Linked DNA regions of Astyanax mexicanus. The protein of the gene in region 2 interacts with the protein of the main gene of each other region in a biochemical or structural test. Links are inferred from orthologs where the notes say so. Each region holds a gene or a part of one and is shown on either strand. Other genes may lie near its edges. The genes, in order: somatostatin receptor type 5 and gopc.

Region 1 (11,795 bases), on a different chromosome or scaffold from region 2:
TGCTAAGATTATAACTGGTATGTGTTTAACTGGGTTTAACTTTGGTATCCGGGGTTGTTGCGGCGTTGCTAGGTGGTTACTATACTAAATTCTTACTTTGGTATACCAGGTGGTTGCTTTGGCATTGCTTGGTGGTTACTATACTACAATGGTGTTGCTAGGTGGTTGCTACACTAAATCCTTACTTTGATATGCCAGGTAGTTGTTGTGGCGTTGCTAGGTGGTTGCTACATTAAATGCTTACTTTGGTATGCCAGGTGGTTGCTTTGGCATTGCCAGGTGATTCTATGGATTAATTGACAGTTGCTGTGGTATCTCAGGTGGTTGCTTAGGTTGCCTAGTTGGTACCATCGAACACAATATTTTAACCTTTATGCACTCAGAAATTCTTCTGTTTTCAGTTTAGAAACACAATTATACGGACTGACACTTTAAAGTCAATGTAAGAAACACTATGATTTTTCAAACTTGCCCAGCTTTTTCTGATTTTGAGTTGCATATAAAAATATTGATAATTAACTCTTTAAACACATTAGTTAAAATATATATTTGCATTAAAACTCATATAGAGTGAGTGCTGTTTTCCTGGACTTTGTAATGAATGCTAAGGTTATAACTGGTGTGTGTTTAACTGACCCTCCCCCACTCTATCCACCGCCCCCCCCCCCTCCATAGAGCCAGCATGGAGCCACTCAAACTGCCAGGAAATTTATGCCCGACTGCTCGACGCGTCAAACCAAACTGTCTGCGTTAGCATGACCTTTACCATGTAGAGCTGCATCAGATAAAACACTCCACTCTAAATAAGGGCATGTAGCGGATTATGAGGACATGTACACACACCCCTAACACACACAACAACACACACACACACATAACAACACACACACTTCAACACACACCAACAAACATCATGCACATAGAAAACCCCTCAGGCGTTTGGTCACTGCTGGGACATCTGGTTTTACAACATGGTTTTAAACGAGTCCAGATGGAACATAAATATTATATAGCAGATGACCTGCAGCAATCTATCTACACTATATAACAAACAAGTATTGTCTCTAGTATTGTTTACTCCGGTTAGCATAGTATAGGTTGTTTCTACTGGATTTCTAGATTTGCGTTGCTGTGAGGATATGATTGCATTCGGCCACACGAGTGTGAATGAGGTCAATACTGATGGATGACTCCATGACTAATCCCAAAAGTACTAAAATGCTAAAATGACTGCTATGTGGTTGCTATGATGTTGCTAAGTGGTTGTTATGATGTTGCTAAGTGGATGTTATGGTGCTGTTAGGTAGTTAATATGATATACCTTGTGCTCACAATGGTGTTGCTCAATTGCTAGATGGGTGTAGTATAGTTCAGTACATCAGGTGGTTGTTGTGGTGTTGTTTGGTGGCTGCTACATAGGTATAGTACAGTACAGAACATCAGTTCAGTACATCAGGTGGTTGCTGTGGTGCTACTACCTAGGTACAGTGTAGTACAGTCCATCAGGTGGTTGCTGTGGTGTTGATAGGTGGCTGCTAGATAGGTATAATACAGTACATCAGTTCAGTAGATCAGTTGGTTGCTGTGGTGTTGCTAGGTGGCTGCTAGATAGGTATAGTACAGTACAGTACATCAGTTCAGTACATCAGGTGGTTGCTGTGGTGCTGCTACGTAGGTACAGTATAGTACAGTACATCAGGCAGGTGTTGCTTAGTGTTTGCTAGATGGTCTCTGTGGTGTACCAGAAGGTTTCAATGGTCTACATAGTACAGTATAGTAAAGTACAACAGGTGGATGCTGAGGTGTTGCCAGGTGGGTTACTACACTAAATGCTTACTTTCATATGCCAAGTGTTTGCTGTGGTTTTGCTAGGTGGTTCCTACACTAAATGCTTACTTTGGCATGTGAGGTGGTTGCTGTGGTGTTGCTCAGTGGTTACTACACTAAATGCTTACTTTGGTATGCCAGGTGGTTGCTAGGTGGTTACTACACTAAATGCTTACTTTGATATCCAAGGTGGTTGCTGTGGTGTTGCTAAGTGGTTACTACACTAAATGCTTACTTTGCTTTGTCAGGTGGTTGCTGCGGTGTTGCTAGATGGGTACAGTTTAGTAGAGTTCAACAAGTGGTTGCTGTGGTGTTGCTCCATGGCTGCAATAGTATACCAGGTGATTATGATGCTGCTGCTAGAATGGTGTTGACGGGGGATTCTATGGATTAATTGGCAGTTGCTGTGGTATCTCAGGTGGTTGTTCAGGTTGCCAAGTTGTACTCTTTTCATTATATTGGCACATAAGAATAGTACACAATTGTTATGTCCATTAATGTTTATGGGCAAATAGAATTTTTGTGTAAAAGTTTTGCAACAATAAAAATGATATTAAATCGGATGCTAATTTATGCAATAGAATAAAATCAGTTAATTTCATTCTGGCCCTGATGTGTGCTGCATGTTCATGTATAACATTACACACGTATAACTGTACACTATACACACACACACATATATATACACACACACACACATATATATATGTATATATGCACCCATACACACATTATAAATCATCCTGCGGTCTGTGGATGCTGTGTTACCTGGCTGCTCTGCACGTGTCCGTTAAACTCGTGGTTTCTCGGGGGCAGGAAGGAGTCGTGGGTGGTGATTTTCTCGGTCCGCGGGACGCTGGGGTCTCCGTCCTCCACGCCGTTGGTCTTGCGGAAACACAGGACCTTCCTGAAGCTCTGCTTGAAGTTGTCGCACAGGAAGCCGTAGAGGACGGGGTTGGCGCAGCTGTTGGCGTAGGACAGGATGACGACGGTGAAGTAGATGCCCACCATCAGGCTGTTCTCCGGCAGGATGACGATGACGTTGACGATGTTGATGATGTAGAACGGCAGCCAGCAGAGAACGAACACCACCACGATCACCACCACCATACGCGTCACCTTCCTCTCCGACCGCCGCCGCTTAGTGAATCCGGCACGAGCACCTGCTGACTTCACCTTCAATCAATCAAAAAATGAATGAATCAATCGATTCATCAATTTGTTTAACTTGTACTTAAAAAAGCTAAAAGTTTGTAGAACCTCTAGGTTACCACAATAACCTACAGGCTCCTCCAAGAACTCAAAGCTTTTTACACAGTTTTTTCAGTCTGAATCTATGAAGGAGCGAATAACGATTTCTGTACCTGAATCCAAATATAATAGCCTACATTTCTTGTACGAGCCATATTTCGAGATCTTTAAAGAACCTGATGTTGTACTGAGGTATCGCTAAAGTGCTTACAGGCACTCATCCTGGAGGTTCCTCAATGGACTTCTCATTCTTTGCATTGAAATAATAACTACTTTCGCTCAATGAAAAAGCTTTCATATTCTTTAAAACATCTTTTTCACAATGAAGAACCTCCAAAAAAGCTCTGTTCGAATTTTTTTATGTGAAAAAACAAAACAAAAAAACAAATATGTAGAAAAGTCTCAACTCGGGCAGAGTTAGTTAGCCCTGGTGTGGTGAGGTGATTTCTGCTGCGGCTGCGAGGCTTTTCCAAAATCAGTGGAAAAAACATACTCTTTGCTGGAGTAACTTTCTCTTTTGTCCAGAGAAGGCTTTCTACTAGATTTTCTAATCCCTAGAAGTACTGGATGGAGTACTGGATTTAATTTCAACTCGGTTTTAAAAATGTTACATAAAGTAAATAAGTGAACTGAACTTCAGTCAATCCTTTCTTTTAGTAAACTTTATTTTTCCTAAATCAATCCTTTTTTAAAGTATCTGAAATTAAATTTACTTAAAAAAAGTCAATTTTACTTAAATTTTTTTCAACAGGCATGATGTTAAGAGGTTGGAGACTCACCTTGACGATGATGAGCAGATAGCACATGCAGATCACCAGCAGGGGGGCGAAGAAGCCGAGGATGGCGGTGTAGAGGATGAAGGCCATGGACCAGACGTCCCGCGGCTCCGGCCAGCTCAGGTTGCAGGAGAAGAACGTGTCCTGCACGTCGGAGAAGATGACAACGGGAAGAATGACCACGAACGAGATGGCCCACACCGCGGCACTCACCACTTTGGCCACCCGCGGCCGTCGCCACCTGGTGGAGCGTATGGGGTGCACCACGGCCAGGTAGCGGTCGATGCTCATGACCGTGAGGCAGAAGATGCTGGTGAACTGGTTCAGAGAGTCCGCCGTCATGAGGACGCGGCACAGGAAGGAGCCGAACGGCCAATAGGAGAGCACGTTCTGCGTGGTGAGGAACGGAAGGCCCAGGATGTAGAGTTCGTCGGCCACGGCCAGGTTCAGGATGTAGATGTTGGTGACCGTCTTCATCTTGGCGTAGCGCAGGACCACGTAGATGGCCAGCGTGTTTCCGACGAGTCCCACGATAAAAACGGTCAGCGAGATGATGGCCGTCAGCATGGTGCTGCTGCCCTGGAACGGCATGCTGTAGTCCGAAGAGTTATAGGAAGAGTTTCCCAGGAGAGCCGGCGCCCTCGAAAACGCCGTCGCCTCCAGAATCCCTGACGAGTTCAAGGACCCCAGGAGGGGCCCCTCCCATTCCGATACAGCCCCTGGCTCCATTCCTGATCCAGGGAGGGGAAGAAAGGAGAGGCAGAAGAGGCAGATGGAGAGGAGAAGAAAAAAAAAGAAAGAACGAGGGAGCGACGAAATCGCGCAGAGAAGCGACACGTCAGTGGGTCTCGGACGCCCACGGGGCTGTTGTCAGAGTTTGGATGCTGGGATGCTGTGAAAAGAGAGAAAGATAGAGATAGAAAGAGAGAGAGAGAGAGAGAGTACGACAGAAGGAATCAGAGAGAGGGAGAGAAGGAGAGAGATTGTGAGTTGAGAATGAGAAAACTCCCACTGCACAGATTGTACCTGATTTCAATGCAGTGTTAGTCAGGGTTGTGATTCAGCGGAGGTGGCTCTGTTCTGGCCGCTCTATGCTCTATATCTGATGATCTGAGTGTGTGTGTGTGTGTGTGTGTGTGTGTGTGTGTGTGTGTGTGTGTGTGTCTTTAGCGCACTCATCTCAGAGACCCCATGTGGTGTCCAGAAAGTGGGATGCATATAAAACTATAACTAAGGTGTGGTCGTTGGTCATAAAAAACAACTTTAAAGGAGAACTCCTGTGTTAAATTTACTTTTAGTTTAGTAAATCATGATAAAAAGTTCTTATCTTTGATGAATAGCACACCTCCGTTCTCCCACAGTGTTCAGAGATCCAGAAATTTTAACAGTTTGTCCAACAAACACCCTTCAGACTGGGTGATATGGAGCATAATTTACCCTGATAAATCACTTTTTCCACCGTTATCCAGCTCAAAGTAGCTCCACACCTCCTTACTAGAATCCAGAGAGACCTGACTTTTAAAACGAGGCATTAATAACTAAAAAGTGCACAAGAAGCTTATTAAAAAACACAGTTTACATCCCATAACGCTCTAGCTTTCAGCTCCGAGCGCCGCCATCACTGTACTGATAATGACATAGACATATATATACATATATACACATAGACTACGCATAGCAAAGATGTAGTATTTTGTTATATGTTATATTATGAAAATCGGGTATAAGTTGAGATTTGTAGAGTTGTGATTATTATAATATATTATGTATTAAACACCTTCCTCACTGTAAAAAAAAAAAAAGCACTGGTCACCAGCTGCTATGACAGGAGGCAGGCTATGCAGAGTCTATGTATATATGTATATATATGTCTATGACATTATCAGTACAGTGATGGCGGCGCTCGGAGCTGAAGCTAGTAGCGTTATAGGATGTAAACAGTGAGTTTTAATAAGCTTCTTGTGCAATTTTTTAGTTGTTAATGCCTCGTTTTAAATGTCAGGGCTCTCCAGATTCTAGTAAGGAGGTGTGGAGCTACTTTGAGCTGGATAAGCACAAAATTACTGTATTTCAGGTGTGCTATTCATCAAAGGAAAGAACTTTTTACTATGTTTTACTACAGCAAAAGTCCATTTTACACCAGAGTTCTCCCTTTTTAAGGTTTAATTGAATTAAAGTAGTTCCTTTAAATAACATTAAATAACATTGACAAAAGTATTGGATCATCTGCTTATATCAAGGGTATTAAAATAAGTTTATCCTGCTTTTTTTGTCGGAGTAACTGCCTCTACTGTCCAGAGAAGACTACTTTCTACTAGACTTTAAAGCAGCATTGCAGTGAGGATTTGTATTCTGAATTTATTGTATTTACTGCAGTGTTATATTTTATGGTTTTAAACTTTTGCACTTTATGTTTGTCTATCTTCTTGTTGTTTAACCATGTTGCATCATGGTTACAGAGGAACGTAATTTCGATACACGGTGTTCCTGTTCTCAGATATAATGACAATAAAAGCCTCTTGACTTCATTTGACTTGATTGCATTTATTAACGAGCATCATCGTCGATTAGGTCAGGATGTTACAGGATGCTGATGATCCCACCTCAACCAAACTCATCCCATTCTAAAGTATTGTATGGAGCTCCATCATCATTACAGAGAACACAGTTCCTCCACTGATCCACAGCTCAATACTGGGGGGCTTTATGTTCGTCCATAGCCCTCACCTGACATTAGACATGGTTCCAATATATATATATATATATATATTTGTTTATCTGCTCAAAAGAGTCACTACAGATGCTAGAATTCATTAGAATGAGTGTCCACAAACAGTCCATTATATAGCACCAATATAGTGTGTGTACATAAAAACATATATACACCAACAAAAGCCCAAAGCCAAAACACTTAAGACCAGCTAATATGCCTATGCTGTTTGTCGTACATATATATATATATATATATATATATATATATATATATATCAATGCAACTCCAGACCACTCTGTAACTCGTTTAATCCTTGCACTCAGCACTAGTGGGGGGGTCAGGATGATGGATGACCATCCAAAAAGTATTGCAAAACATGTAGGGTATGTCCAAGCCACATACAAACACAGCTCTGGTCAAAAAATAAGAGACCATCTAAAAATGATGGGTTTCTTTGATTTTACCAAATTAAAAACCTCTGGAATATAATCAAGAGGAAGATGGATGATCCAAAGCCATCAAACCAAACTGAACTGCTTGAATTTTTGCACCAGGAGTAAAGCAGCATAAAGTGTACAAGAAATAAGTTTTCATCCTTTTTTCCAATTTTAGTTTTTTCATCTCTGCCCCTCGCAATCAGAATTTCAAGATTTCTTCCCATTTTCCATTTTTGCATACCATCAGATTTGTGTCACGAGATATAAAAATGGATTCTTGCCTCAATTTTCAGATTTTTCCATGTTTGTATCTTGTAACACACATCTGATGGTGTAATCCAACTTACAAATGCAAAAATTCAAAAATCTGGAAAAAAAATAAATATTTTTTTTCTGATTGTGAGGGGCAGAGATGAAAAAAAATAAAAATTGAAAAATGGATAAAAACTTTTTCTTGTAAACTAAACTACATTTAAAAAATCTGTTTTTACATCCTTTTTTCCATTTTTGCATTTAGCCTCAAACAATTAGAAAAATAAATTAATAAATGTTACTCTGACCCCCCAATTTTTTTATTATCTATTTTTTTCCGCTATTGGCAAACAGAATTTCAAGAGAAAATAAAGTTGAATCTTCTCTTGATTTTTTAGATTTGTGTTAAAAGACAGAAAAATAAACAAATCTGAAATCTGGCAAAGCTTGCAAAATGCAAAAAATGATTAATTCATTCATTGATTAATTAATCATTTTTCCTGACATTCCGATTGTAAGGGGCAGAGAGGAAAAAACTAAAATTGGAAAAATGGATAAAAACATTTCTTGTACACTAAACTACATTAAAATAAATGAAATTATGCGTTTTTACATCCAATTTTCTAATTTTGCATTTAGCCCCAAACGGTCAGAAAATCAAATAGAAAAAAGTTACACTGACCTTTTACATTTTCATTGGCTGACATGAATAATAGATAATTAATAATTTGGATAAAAATCCATTTCTTCTTCACTCTGCTGAAAATTAAACTTCTAAACGCTACACTGAGCAACAACACACAGCAGTAAGAGCTTATTATATTATAATAATGCAGCCTCTGTGTGTGTGTGTGTGTGTGTGTGTGTGTGTGTGTGTGTTATTATTATTGAATATAATAAGTTTTAAAGAGATTTAAAGCTCTTATATCTGCACTAGTGACAGTGCACTAGTATGTAAAGTGTGTGTGAAGTGTGTGTAAAGTGTGTGTGTATGAGATGAGCTGCTACTTGCCTGGTTTGTGATCCTCAGATGTTCTCAGGATTTATAATAATAATAAAATTAAAAATATCTCCTCAGATTAAAAGAATAACACCAAAAACACCAATAGCAGACTGTAGGAACGAGAGTCTCCCCATTATGAGCGCGCGCGGCAGCAGCTCGGAGCGCGAGACCCGGGCAGAGCGCATCTCTGAGCGCGAGCGGAGCGGCGGAGATCTGTAATCCAGACAGTGTGATCTGATCTGATCTGATCTGATCTGCTCCGGGCTGTTCAGAGATCAGACCTGTAGAGCTGCATTCTCCCAGTCACTACTGCTGCTGCTCACTACTGCTGCTCACTACTGCTCCTTCTGCTGCTGCTGCTCAAACTTACTGCAGCTCAGCACTGAGATACACCCCCTACACACACACACACACACACCAGCAGCAGCAGGAGAAAAAAAAACACAAAACACACACTCACACACACACCAGCAGCAGGAGAAAAAAAAAACACAAAACAAACACTCACACACACACCAGCAGCAGGAGAAAAAAAAAACACAAAACACACACACACACACACACACACTGCACAAAACCCACGTTAATGAGCACCTTACAGAGGTTAATTATAAATACACCTGAATGAACCCGACCAGCACGACCAGCAAGGTTGAATGAAGGTCCTCACACAGGGCTTAATGATCACACACTGCCTGCAATCATAAACCCGGGAGCCCATAAATTACCAGCACCAATCAATACCGCTCACTCACAGCTTCTAATCTCATTAATTCATTCATTAAATAAATAAATAAATAAATAAAGCATTAGCAAAAAACGAAACAAAAAAACACTGGTTTATGAAGCTCGTTACAGGAAACATGCTGTTGGATTAGCTTTAAGGATTAGAGTTGCATCCAAACTTTTTTTATTTTTAATAATATTTGTATGTAAAATGCAATTTGTCTGATCTTTAACTACTTTTGGTGTAAAATGGACTTTTAGTTTAGTAAAACATGATTAAAAAGTACTTTCCTTTGATGAATAGCTCACCTCCGCTCTCCTGCAGCTTTCTGAGATCCAAAAATTTAGCCTTACATTTAAATCGAGGCATTAATAACTTAAAAAAAGTGCACAAGAACGTTATTAAAAACCTCTGTTTACATCCCAAAACGCTAAAGCTTTACTGATGAAGACATAGACATATATATAGATAGACTCTGCATAGCCTGCCTTCTAGCGTAGCAGCCAGCGCCAACCCTGCAGACATGTAACACTATTAGACATTATCCTGTTGTAAAATATTTGTCATTGTCAAGTCATGACCACAACTCAACCTGAAATTAATGTCTTTTAATGTTGGTGGCCAGCTGGGAAGAGGCAGGCTATGTGGAGTCTATGTATATATATGTCTACGTCATTATTAGTTAATGCCTCGTTTTAAATGTTATGGCTACAACTACGAAACTAGCATCTATTTTTTTAATTAGTTGAGAAAACTATAATAAAAATACACCATATATTTTGCTAAATCAGCTAAAAAGCGTTAAGTGTTGGGTTAGCATCTACAGAATTGGACTTTTATTGCCAATAAGTGAACAATATTTAAATCTGTCAATTAATTTAATTATGCTGTTAAATTAGAGTGTAAAAAACGCTTTAACTGAATTAGCTGTAGCTAAAGTGTTGGGTTAGCATCAAAACGCTGGGTTGTTGAACTAAATTTGCCCGCTAGTGTTGGATTAGCATCATCATTGGGCGGTATGGTGGATTAGTGATTAGTGGTTAGCACATTTGCCTACCAGTCTTGGGTTCAAATCCCTGTCCTGAGTTTCCATGTTCTCTCTGTATCAGCATATCTCGAATTTATCAAACAGTCCAAAAACATGGAGATCAGGTAAATTGGTAAATTAACTAACTTCTGTTACAGTGTAGTTAATGCAGTGCTCCAGGTGGACGGTGGTTTCCGGTTGAGAGTATGCTGTCTCTGCTCTGTGCTGAGTGTAAATGGTTGTGTGTGTAAAATGTGATTGTAAGAAAGGCACTTTATAAGTGTAATTTCATTGGTCTTTCATAAAACAGCAAAAAGAGTTTATTTAATCATCTTAAAAAAAAAAACTAAATTAGCATCTAAAAAATTTATTTAGCATCTATTCTAAAGTGTAGAATGAAAGAATGCAAAATAGTTATGTTGCCTTTGCCTCTGCACCCTAGTGAACAAAATATATACTTAATTGTACTTAAAACATATTGAGAAATGTATGATGTAAATATACTAACAGATTTATGTACTTACTTAAAATATATTAAAAGTACATTAATATTATGCTTTGAAAGTAAAATTTGATCATATTTTTAAAAAAGTACAATATAGTCTACTTTTCAATAAATAGACTACTATGAAGTGCACTTTTAGTTTAATGTAATTCAATGTAATTCTAAAATATATATTTACAAATATACTTTTGTACACTTTTAGCAAAGTGTGTTAAAAACAACTACAGTTACAGTAGTTCACTTAAAGTACAATGTATCATGTAACTTTTTAGAAAGTAAATTAAATTACTACTACTAATTAAAAAAATGTAAAATTGTAACACACTAAAACTTGTAGTACATTATATTAAAATATATTTTTATACCCAATAAAGTAAACTAGACTAGAAGTGTGCTTCTTACAAAAGACAGGAACAAGAAGCATAGTTGTATATTTGTACTCAAATGTAAATATAGATCACATATATTTAACATATATCAATTCTTAGTGCATTTCTAATATATCTGGTGTATAATAAATAGTGATACAGTTGTGCTACTCATTATTAAATATATTATAAAATATATAATTATATTATAATTATATATTATAAATATATATGTATGTTTAAATGTTACTTAAGTAAATTTAAAATAGTTCAATTTCAGTACAGTTAAGTAGACTTTTTAAGTAATTTAAGTAAGAATGTTGTACTATTTTTATACTGTAATTAAAGTATAATAAGTATTTTAAAAAGTTGTTCCATTTTAGCGCTCTTTAAATATACTGATTAATAATAATGAGGCTACAAGAACACTTTAGTGCACTATAGTATAGAAATGCTTAGTATAATTTAATCTATTTTTTTACACTAGAGCACTACAGTTTCTTCAGCTGTTTCACTCAGTAGTGCAGAGGTGACACGTGCTGGATTATTATCACTATTATTACTGGTGTTAGTTAGTTCAGAACAGTTGCTCACGCGCTCACTGTGAACGCCGAGTGTGTGACGCACGAGCAGCTTTCAGAAATGAGATGAAGAGTAGAGGTATGAAGAAGAATGAGAGCATGCTTCTAGATTACGCAAGACACACGCAGTATTTCACACAGATAGTGTGTGTGTGTGTATGTGTGTGTGAGAGCAGTAGGGTGTGAAATCATCAGGGTAAGTCTGAAGTTGTTAGAGAAGCTCCAGACAGACAGCAGGACCGCTGGACTGCCTCTGATTTGTTTGTTTAGACAGTAAGAGTTTCCTCTTCGTTCCAGATCCAGATTCTTTGATCTGACGGTGTGAACA
Region 2 (11,521 bases):
TCCCTATTTCATCTATCCCTCATATCTTCTGTGGAACAAGACATGAGAGTATTAGCAGTACGGCTGTCATTATTGACTGCATTAGGAAATAGGGAATTTATTTTGGTAATTTTTTTCAAACAAGCAAAAATTCCAAAATACTGAAAATTGATAGTGCTTTTGTGTCACATTGTGAAACCAAACCCTTCATAAATTGCAAGCACAGCTGTCACACAGTTCATCATTTCCTGTTTTCCAGTAAAAGGAGCTTCTGCGAGTGATCTTTGCCCACATCATGTTGGCTGATCTAATGTCCCAGGAATATTTGCAGTAAGCAATCATTTTTAACAAGAAGAATAACGTCTGAACTACTCAATTAATACCAAAATTAAATACAACTACACCAATATTTAAAAAAAAAAATAAAGTCCTTAACAGGTCAAACACCTTAACGGGTTTTGTTCACTAAAAAAAACAAAATGGGTAATATTGAGGTCAGAAAAAATAATTGAGGTTGTGTTTGTGTATTGTACGCTAAAATGATAATGTAGTTATTGTGACAGCCTAGAAATTCCAGCAATACACACAGATAAACATATCTAATTTACACAAATACATGTGGTGTAGGATACAACCCACCTGGATCTGTGTGTAAAATGCAAAAAAAAATAATGAAAATAATTACAAGTAGGGCTGCAAAAAAAACTGTTAGTTTTTTTCAATTAATTACCATTTGAACCAGCGATACACTTTAGGTCACTATCATGTGATGGAGGTTAACATAGCAGCTCTGCTCCCTTGATCTGCACTTTGTCACCTGCTTTTTTTTTTTTTTTAAATCACTGTTGCCACCTCTTCCATGCCACTGTTGGCGTCATCACTGTGGTGCTTACTCATAAGAAGCTTGAACAGCTTGTAAAACACGCAATATAAATAACATTGAATTGAATCTATGTACTTTACAGCGTAGCACCACTCCAGAAATGTGAATACTGTGATTGCGTTCACAGGTAAACTGTAACGCAACACAGAAACACCAACATGCAACCCTGTACAGTGCCACATGGCATTTGTGTAGACTATACACCACAGACCCTGCCTTGAGAAAGTAAACAGGCTTGTTTGTTTCAGTAACTGTTTGAGAGAGTAAGGCAAATAGTCCACTTCTGGTGCATAACACAAAATTGAGAAACTGTTGCTTGTTTGACTTGAAGTGAATTTGATGATATTTTTATGGTTTATGGTCAATAGAATTGTGCTGCAAATTACAATATGTTGCTAGAGAATGGTTTTGTAGTAAAAGGAACTGGTAATATATTGTTCTATTTAGGTTATAATTTTAGCTTTAAGATGTATACACCTGAAATAAAAAGATTGAGAAGAAAAAAACCTATGTCTCTTATTATTGTAACTTTCCATTTATTCATTCATTCATTCATTCAAAAAAAGTATTTTTAGGTGATAAATGTAGATTAATCACTGAGCATGTAATTAATTAAATATTTTTTTTTATCATTTGACAGCATTGATACTCATCAAGCAAACATGCTAGATCATCATTGTAGACTCACAGATAAGGTAGTATTAGTGTTTTAATCATACATTCATGACAGTCCTGCAAAACAGCATGCATTAAGATAAAGAAGCTTTTAAGAGATTTATAAAGTGGTAGACACACGAGAGATTAGTCCAAGCGTTCTCCTGAGAATGCTGAAGCAGGAGGAACACATGAGGCCAACAGGTCAGATCTAATGGACACAAGACAGCTGAACACTGGTAGAGCTGACCTACAGCAACCAACACTCCACACTAAAGCTGAACAACATGGGAAAAAAATCCCTTACTTTGACTTAAGGGACATTCTACTTTAACAACAACTGTTTTTTTAGAATCATCATCCTAAATAGCATTAGGTCTGGTTTCTCCAGATTTTGTTCACAATGTGGATGGGGGTCACCAATCTTATCCACAAAGCAAGGGCAGGTTTAGCAGAGATTTTCATTTCTAACAAGCAGAAGTGGATCCTGTTATTCTTGTTTTATTAGTTGGTCCAAGCTGTCAATTATTCACTCTGGTCTGAGTGAAAACCTGCAGCCATACATGCCCTTTGTGGACAAGACTGGTAAACCCTGTTTTTGGTGGAACAAAACCGTGATGTTCTAGATACAACAAAAAGTACATAAGGACAGGACTAAAACTTTACTTGACCACAATCAGTGGAGATGTTCAAATTAATAACACTCTAAAACCATTAAATAAAGCATGAGTTCACAGTGTAGCAACTTAAATAGATCTTATAAATCCAGAACTTCAATGTGTCCACAATAACAATTTATGTGACACCAAAACCATACCAGTGAACCAATAGTGTCACCTGATTAAAGACTGGCCTTTATAAATCACAATAAATCTAAATTAATTTCCATTTTATTTAATTTTTACATTGGTTTTCATTTAATTATTTTAATTAATCGTTTTTAAAATTATTTTATTTTATGTTTTAATGTATTTTTGCATGACAAGTATAAGCTGACTTTTTATGAATTCTTTAATTCACATCATTTGGTATGATCACAACATGCAATAAAACTTAATTTGTTTGAGAGTAGATGTACACAATAAAAGCCCTACTAACAATGGCCAATATTTCAAAAATTACCAAAAATATTTATTTCCAACCAACTTCATGGAGGAAAGCTAAAGGATATCTGGTGATATCATGTTAGAAATACAGGACTGCACTTTTTCATATAAATTGCAAAATATACACATTTTTTTTTTTAATCAACCTAAAGACAGTAATTACCAGCTAATGACAATCCAATGGAAAAGCCTCAAGAGGAAAATAGTAGTGTTGACTCCAAAAGGTGCTTTGCATAGTTTTGTCTTCTTATCATTTACAAACACACACACACACTATAGACAGAGGACACAATAAACTGATCAGACCTGGCTGAGCAGGTTCTGCAGGTCTATTTCTCTAAACATGTATCTCTTTTGTACTAAAATAATAAACCTAAAGAGAGCATTGGCTGGTACACTCCAACACTATTGAGTTCTGATGTTCTCCAGCTCTGTCTGAGCTTTACTCACATTTAAGATGAGTAAGCATCTCTCTTTTACAATGGATCAGGATTTCAAATGTCAGGAATGCAAACCCCCTTACGCAAAACAGGCTCAGCTCAGCAGGAAGGGCAGGTGCATCACGTTTATTGTTAAACTGTAATACCTTTCCTTTTAAATGCCATTTTTAGAGATATATTAGACTGATAATAGCAGTACCTATTTCAATACAAGATTATGATATCTTTTCACACCTATGATGAACTGCACTGAATGTCACTTAAAAAATGTAAAAGGGCAATTGCAGAACGTTAAATATCAGAAATAACTTTCAGCAAACTATTTTAATGAGCGGTAATAAAACTGACATTGTGTAGAATCTGATGGTACTATTTATTGTATAATTCACAGATCAATTAATCATAGGCAGCAAAATCAGCACAAAACCATGTTAATTGCCAACATGGCTAGGATGAGATTCTAATTGAACTGCAGCATTTGATTTTTGTCAGCTGCTAGAGGACTAGGATTAAGGTTAGACTCTTTTTATAATTATTTATAAAAAAGAACAAGAAAATATATTGGCACACAACAAAATGTAACTAAAGCCTAACGTGAACTGAACTACAGGGCATTGGCTGCTGAATTATAAATGCCTGCATGAAGATCAAGAAACAATCTCAGTGCTAAACTTGGAGCAGTATTGATTGGGTCCATGAAATAGAAAAGCACCACCCAGTATCTACAAGAAGACTTCCAAGCATCCTACAGTAAGGAATGGTAAGAAATGGCAGTTCAGGTGAACTGTGGTAGTCAAAATGTGATCTGGAAAAAACAAAACACTGAATTGCTACAGTTAAAACACCCTCAGTATAAAGACAAAACTGATATTAGATATAAAAACACTTATCTGCAACAAACAGAGCTTGTGAACTGTATTTTCTGTCAAAGGGGTTGTAACAAAGCTTTTACCGGGTAAAGTGCATAAACCTTTGCCCAGGCCAAAATGGTTATTCTGATTTGCATATAATATATTTCGGCATAAAAAAGCAGTTGTACATTTGTAGAAAATATTGGCAGTATTAGCCACACATTCTGTGCTTTCTATTTATTAAAATAAAATACATTGATATATATATATATATAAAGTGTCATTTGTTTAGAGATGACCAAATGTTTTGTAGACAGAAATAAGAAGCTTAATCCAGTATTTATACGAATATATTCACTCATTATTAGTTGCTATTTTAATAGTTAGGAATTTTTATATACACAAGAATTCTTAATTGGAAGAAATAATTTACAGCATTTTTATGACATTGAAAAATTTTGGAGAACTGCTAAGGTCAAGATGAATTCTGGAAACAGATGTACATTAGAATTTGGTGACAATACAGTATAACCTACATACTCTGTGCTTATTAATTCCCAATAAGAAATGAATAAAGTGTGTAATTTGTAAAGTAATTTGGCGAGAGTTCCCAAACTTCCACTACTGTTCCACAGAACAGTAGTTTCCTCACACACTGCTGCTGTGTGGTGGGTTAGCTAGGATAGCTAGCTAGCTTCCTGTGACTCTGAACAGTTTAATGAATATTTCACAGTCTGTGTGAGTGTTAAAGCTACAGTGGAGTGGTGGTGTAGGCCCGGTGGTGTGTTGTGTTTTAATAATAACGCTAGCTACCTCCAGTTTGTGGTTGAGCTGGAAGACGGTCTGCGCTTTGTGGCAGAGCTGCGCGAAGCAGGAGCTGAGGCTGGTCATCTTCTGGCGGCCTTCATAGGTGATGTCGGCCTGGTCCGGGTCGATCTCGCCCAGCAGCAGATCCACGTCCACGAACGCCTTGTCGAACTCCTTCTCCAGAACCTCCAGCCAGCGGAACATCGACATGCCCGAGGCCGGAGCTCCGAGCGCGGCTCCCTGCGCGGCGCCCGCCGACATCCCCGCCCTGTAGACCGTCTAACACCGAGCGGATACCCGAGCACCCCCACAACAACACCACCAGCAGCACTGCAGAGCCTCGGTTCAGCGACCCCGCAGCCCTCAGTCTGTACAGCCCGGCTCTCTGAGTCCCTTAAGCTCAGTCTATCACAGTCAGAGGAGAAGGAGGAAGAACTTCAGCGGAGGAGTAAATACCGCTGATCCTCCTCCTCTAAACACAGCAGGATGTCCGTTTTCAGCAGGGATCGATTACACTGGTCTGCCACACGATTAGGCCTCCAGAGAGAGAGAGCGAGAGCAACAGATCACCGATATGATCGATCGATCTGTTTCAGGAACACTTCACTCAGTCCGCTGATCTCACACAATATTTTTACCAGCTTTTTTATTATTAATATTGAGCTTTTGTACTTTAAATGCTGCTCATACACTACACGACTTAAAAAAAGACTCTAAAAATACTTTTCTTATACTAAGGTCTGACACTCCCTCACGTCTAAAGACAAGTCACAGACTTTTTACTAACATATTTTGCTAAGACTGAGGATCACTAACTGTAAGACTGCAGCTAGATTCTTTCTGAGAATATTTCCCATCAAGCTTCTGGTGGAGGTTACATACAAGACATGTTACATATTAAGTTAAAAATAATGTGTAAATCAATACTGTGATTTATCAGAGACTCACATCAACAGTTTATTTTTCGGCCACACTTATTTCTTGATATTTTTAATAGAATACATTTTGTGTTCAACTCTTCTTATAAGCATACAACCTTGTAAAGCAATCAATCACAGTTTCACTGATATACATTTGCCTTTGTTTTAGATTAATGCAATAAACAACATCATTCTTGCAAAATGTGTATTTATTAAACTTGTTTGTATCAAAAATAACACTGCACAATAAGACACAATCCTGACTCTGGAAATTTTTCTGCAACAGTGAAATTGCTTGAAAATCGTTATGTCTAAGGTCGGCATAATACAATACAACAAAGTTAAACAGAAACAGCAATAGGCTAATTTCAAGATTCATATATCCAACAACCATACCTGTCAAGTTTTAGAAAAATAAGGGATATTTTCCTCTGTCCGCTTAAAGTCGTCCCACCAGCCCAACGAAGGTTCAGTATCTCTTACATTTTAAAGACAGGTTTACAAAAAATCTAAAATAACCACAAGTGAACCACTTACACACTACAATTAGATTATCAGAATCTGAAATGTTGTGGACATTCCTACATATATCATTCTTTTAATACAGCCAAATTAAAAATCATTTTCAAGATATTAAGATTAAGATTAAGATTTCATGTCTTTTTGCCATACATGCACTCTTTTATATTATATTTTTTTTATTTATTTAATAGATTTAAAATTTAACAAAGGGGGCACAAATTCTGCAAAATGACTGTAGGTGACCTAAAAATAGTATTATGAGCTTTTACTAAAAGGACATGGACCAGATATATTCCATCAGTAAAAATTAGTCCTAAGTGGCCTACACAATTAATCATTTTTAATTAATACTTCTTCCTTTTGATCACTCCACCCCTGATCAGTTCAGTTCATTTCGGTCACAAGCTGTAATTTTTTTTTTAATTTTAAAATGTTTAATCTGTGTGTTTTATTTCGGAGACGAGTCTTTTTAAGCAGCTATCAGAAAAATCTCATCACAGTTTACATGATTAGCCTACCGTTACATTTTTTTAAGAAAAATCGCTGTATATCCAGATCTGTTTTAACATCAGCAGCTCCGACTAGCTGCCTGAACTCACAGCGACGGGGGGCTTCCCCACACTGACCCTCCTTTGCAAGCTGATTGGCTGTTTCTCCTGAAAGGCGGGACTTTCTCCTTGAACCGGCTCCACGATTGGTTAAGAGACAAAGAGCGGTCAGTGCCCTGTCTCCTCAATAATATATATTTTTTAATTTTAATATAATACGGGAAATTTACGGAAAAATACTAATACGGGAGGACGGCGGGAAAGAGGAGTAAAATACGGTAGTTTCCCGGCCAAAACGGGAGACTTGACAGGTATGCCAACAACATAAAAAATAAAAATATAATAAAATAAAAAAGCAAACAAACAACAAAACCAACAAAAAAAAGCTAAAACTGAAAAGCTTCAAAGTATGAATAGATTTTTGAAATTTCTTATTTTTCGAAAATGTTTAATTTTATGGGCCCCATGTGGGTTTATGATGGGCTAAATGATGGGCCCCAACAAGTTTAACCATTTAGGACCCAACACATTTTGTCCTTAGTCTCTATGCGGGCCCCTTGAGCAGCATATGGGTTAATGACGGGTTTAAGATGGGTACAGTGTGGAACCCTAATGGGTAGCATATGTGGGGTTTTTATGGGCCTTTAATTTAGAACCAAAGTGGGTTTTACATGGGTAAAATATGGGCACAGGTTGGGCCATTAATGGGCAAATAGAGCTGAGGACACCTGGGGCCATTATGTGCACTGTATAATGGGCCCCATCAGGGTAACCCATTATAAAGCACTCTTTTTATTGTACTCGGTCTCCATGAGGGCCCCTTATGCAGCAGCCCATTTAGGTAATGAGTTGGGTTTTAAAGTAAAATAAAGGGTCATTAAAAACATACAATACAGCTTTATTGTATTACATTAAATTGTATATAGCTTTACTATCTAACCTTCTCTTCAAATCTAAAAGAAGATCATTCCAAAAAAAAAAACACAATACAAAAAACATGGATTCAAAGAGCAGATAGTAGGACAATTCTGAAGACCCTGAAGATTGTATTCCTTAGTAATACTTTAGATTTACCTACTGAAGGATTCTTAATTATGGCACTGCATTTATTAAATAATAAGTAAAGACTAGTTTTAGATATGTACTTAAAACCAGAACCATCATCTTAGGCTTTAAAGCATTTAAGCAAAAAAGTATTAATATTTAATATTTGTGTACATATACAATTATATGTAGGTTTATCCACCGCAGATTTTTGATCTTCTCATAGGTGAACAGTACGTGAACGATTAATTGCTTTACAAAAGCTGTGAAGTGAAAAATTGCACATTTATTAAAATATTTTACCTATGTTATTTTTGTAAGATACACAGAATATTCCAAAAAAAGACTAAACAAATACATTTATAACAAACAATGAGACTTCCTTTGAAAAGTTAACCAAAATTAATAATAAAAAACAAAATACAGTTTTGTACTGCAAAGATTTTCATGATTTTAAGATTTTTCTGTGCAGACAGTATCCTTCTTATAGCAGATATAAGAAGTCATCACAGTAAACAATATTTGTAGCAGGTAAGAGATTTTCAGTTCTTCATTGATGGGTGTTTGCTCATTCTTCCTTGTTGTTAAAAGCTTCTAGTTTTGGGAGATTCAGGGGCTGTCTTACATGAACTGCTTTTCTGACACCTGTTTACAGATGTTTGTTGAATTTTAAGTGCTGTGAGAGCCTTTGTGGATTTTGAGATGTGTTTAGAATCATGTTGTAAAAGTAATTCTCTTTTTCTCAACAGCTTTTGTTTTTACAGAAGGTGTGATTAATTCCAGATTTTAATTTCAATTGTTAATTATATCCATTTTCCCAGTCAAATTATATTACCAGTCAAATGCTCCCTGTTACACTGGCTGCATCACAAGCCCAAAACTTGATTGATCCACCCCATGGTTAACAGATAAAAATGGCTTTATACCACTGCATCATTTAGTTTTTACTTTAGCTTACTTAACTTAAACATACTTTAAATTGTGGCCACAAATAGTCATAGTCATAGTTTCTTTATTTATCTCCCAAGGAGAAATTTTGCTTGGATTGAGGGCATACTGCATTACAACACAAAACAGACAAACATACAAACAAAAATATATGTGTATAGTGAAGCAATACCCATTTGGTGAGTGAAACCAATTCCAGAGAAACACATTTTAGGAGTACCCCACACCCCCCATGTCCTTGGTGGCAATAAAGGGGCATTTCACCTTGACCTGATGTTTATACTGTTCTGTCCTTGTGGTCTGATAAGAGTAAATGAGTTTTTTTTTTTGGTGGGAGGTGTCAGATCTGCTCACCCATATAAATGGTGTGCACTTAATGTTTAAATGTTTGTAATAAACAGTGTTGATAAGGAGAGTTCCCAGACCCCAATTTTGCAGAAACAACCATTACATTTCTGTGAAGGCTTTGCACTGGATGTTGGAACGTTTGACAGTATTTACAAATTCAATTTATTAAAATAGTTATGTGAGCTGTTTTGGATCTCAACTAACAGATAAACAGAGAATCATCAAATGAGCCTGTGCTCTTCTGTGCATTTATCTAACCCTATCATTTCTATCTTTTTAATAACTGTACTCACCATCTGCACATACCGATCACTTTATTAACTTTATTACTTTATTAACTTTATTACCTCCTGGCAAAACAGGAATTAAAAGATAAATATACTGTAGTCTATGACTAGACTTAATGCATGTCTGTGAAATGGCCCCTATATCTCTCATTATTTATTATTGAATTAGGTTTGATATGGGTTGAAATAATCAACCCATAAAGTGTCCTCTGTGACAGACACACCAGCAACATCCATCTCCAAAAAAAAACAGAGTACTCAAAGAGAGGAACGAAGAGACAAAGTATCTGCTAAAAGTATTTAAGCAGAGGAAACTGCATTTGTTGTCTAGAATGGGCTGTAAACAGGTTATCACCAAGGTTCTCACATCTGCGGACAGACAGGACAATCTGTGACTGCTTTGCCAGTTCCTTGTCAGTGTTTTCCAACACAGATAGTGATCTAGGCCATTGTTCCCAATAAAGCGGAGAAGGCCTACACTCAGCAGAGCCCCAGTCGCTGAGCTATTTAAGCCACAGGTCTTCAAAATGCTGCTTCAGCACCAAGGCAGCCCCGGTCATCTACACAATGCGGACACTTCACATTCTCATTTACACCCTGCTCTTCCCTCTCCTCTCGCTCTGCAGCCAAGTGTGTCCAGAGAAATGCGTCTGTGAACAAACCGGATCAGTGCAGTGTTTCAGGGTACAGTCCATGCCCTCAGGCATCCCGAGAGATGTGAGAAAACTTAACCTGGGATACAACCACATTAAGGAGATCAAGGTAACTGTTCTTTTTTACTCCAGATCCATCTCATTTGCACCTGTTTAGCAACATTCTCTTGTTTTCTGTATTACTTATTTGGAGTGTTTTAAATAAGGCATACTCCACAATGATTCACATCTGGCACAAATTTTTTTCTCTCTACATTTTATTCAGTATTATATAAACTGTTATGTAGGATTAATTTTGAGTTTTTCATTTTTAATTTTAATGATAAGTATGTTTGCGTTTTGTTGGTTTAGTAAATCTACCTTTTGAAATTAAGCTTGTAGTGTACAATATGTTTTATATGTTTCCTCAGATTTAGAAAATATTTTCTGTTCCAAATTGTGTTTGTTTAAAAAAAATTATTGTATTATTGGCATTGTGATGTCATTGTAATATTGTCCTACTGACCCATGCACCCAATTAATAAATAAACCAGATATTTGAAGATTGCTCTCATATTATACATTTAAGTCAATTATAACTGTTTATTATAATTGATATATTCAGATACTTTTATCTTTTAGGTTCTAGTTTTGTCTAATTAAAAATAGCTTTATTCTTAGTTTGGTAAACCAGCATTATAGGTTTTCCACACCCATATCTACATGGTGTACATCATATTTTGAAAGCAGTTAACAATTAGTTAGGGCAGTTAATGCATAAGATGTATCACTATCAATAACTGCGTAATAAAGCAATCGTTTAATGCAGTGTTTTTCAAGCTGAAAGCTGCAGTGTTACTTCTGGGAGCTGTTGTTCCAATTAATTTGAATGTCAGTTTTTTTGCAAAAAGAAAAACATTGAATTTTGGATGGTGTTGTTGGAGGTTTTTACATTTATATTAGTGCTGTTCTTCATGAGGTTTTTGAGCAATTTTGAGCATATTACGTAATTTAATGGACTACATTGATTGTTATGCTGTACTTATTTTGATTTGATAATTAAATACTTGTTGTTGCTGTGAAATGTTAATGAAATGAGTAAATAGAGCCCACACTGTGTGTGTTTTTTTTTTGTGCTGTCCCTCATCCAGCACACCTGATGCAACTAATTAATTAACAAATATCCAATAACCTGATCTACATCAGGTGTGTAAGGATAAGCAGGACCCAAACCTATTGAAACAAATGTGATTCCTGACTTTGTGTTATACTGGGCTATTTTAAAGAGCCTTTTTTCTTTTTTCCTTTTCTCTTAGAATCGAGATTTGTCGGGTTTGCAAAGTCTTGAAGAGATCATCCTGTCTTCCTGTGGAGTGGAGCAGCTAGAGGGTAATGTTTTTAGGGCCCAGAGGCTTTTAAAAACTCTGGATCTCCAAAAGAACAAACTGAGGAACATTCCTCGTGGCCTGCCCTCCAGCCTGGAGAGCCTTCACCTGGGTCACAACAGGATCCAGACATTGCAGGAGTCCACCTTGCAGGGTCTAAAGAAACT

Evidence for each region.
Region 1: the proteins of gopc (region 2) and somatostatin receptor type 5 form a complex in vitro, tested with the Homo sapiens proteins (2 studies listed by BioGRID and IntAct, with this or other methods). The link is inferred for Astyanax mexicanus from reciprocal best matches to the Homo sapiens genes GOPC and SSTR5.

The regions. Positions count from the first base shown.
Region 1 is NC_064428.1:35,181,205-35,192,999, reverse strand, and holds the start of somatostatin receptor type 5, read right to left. Parts: upstream 4,744-11,795; 5' UTR 4,584-4,743; coding exon 3,858-4,583; intron 3,004-3,857; coding exon 2,596-3,003; intron 1-2,595.
Region 2 is NC_064408.1:80,410,975-80,422,495, forward strand, and holds the start of gopc (Golgi-associated PDZ and coiled-coil motif-containing protein), read right to left. Parts: upstream 5,227-11,521; 5' UTR 4,982-5,226; coding exon 4,727-4,981; intron 1-4,726. Other genes in the region: nephrocan-like, read left to right, coding at 9,905-10,099, 11,286-11,521.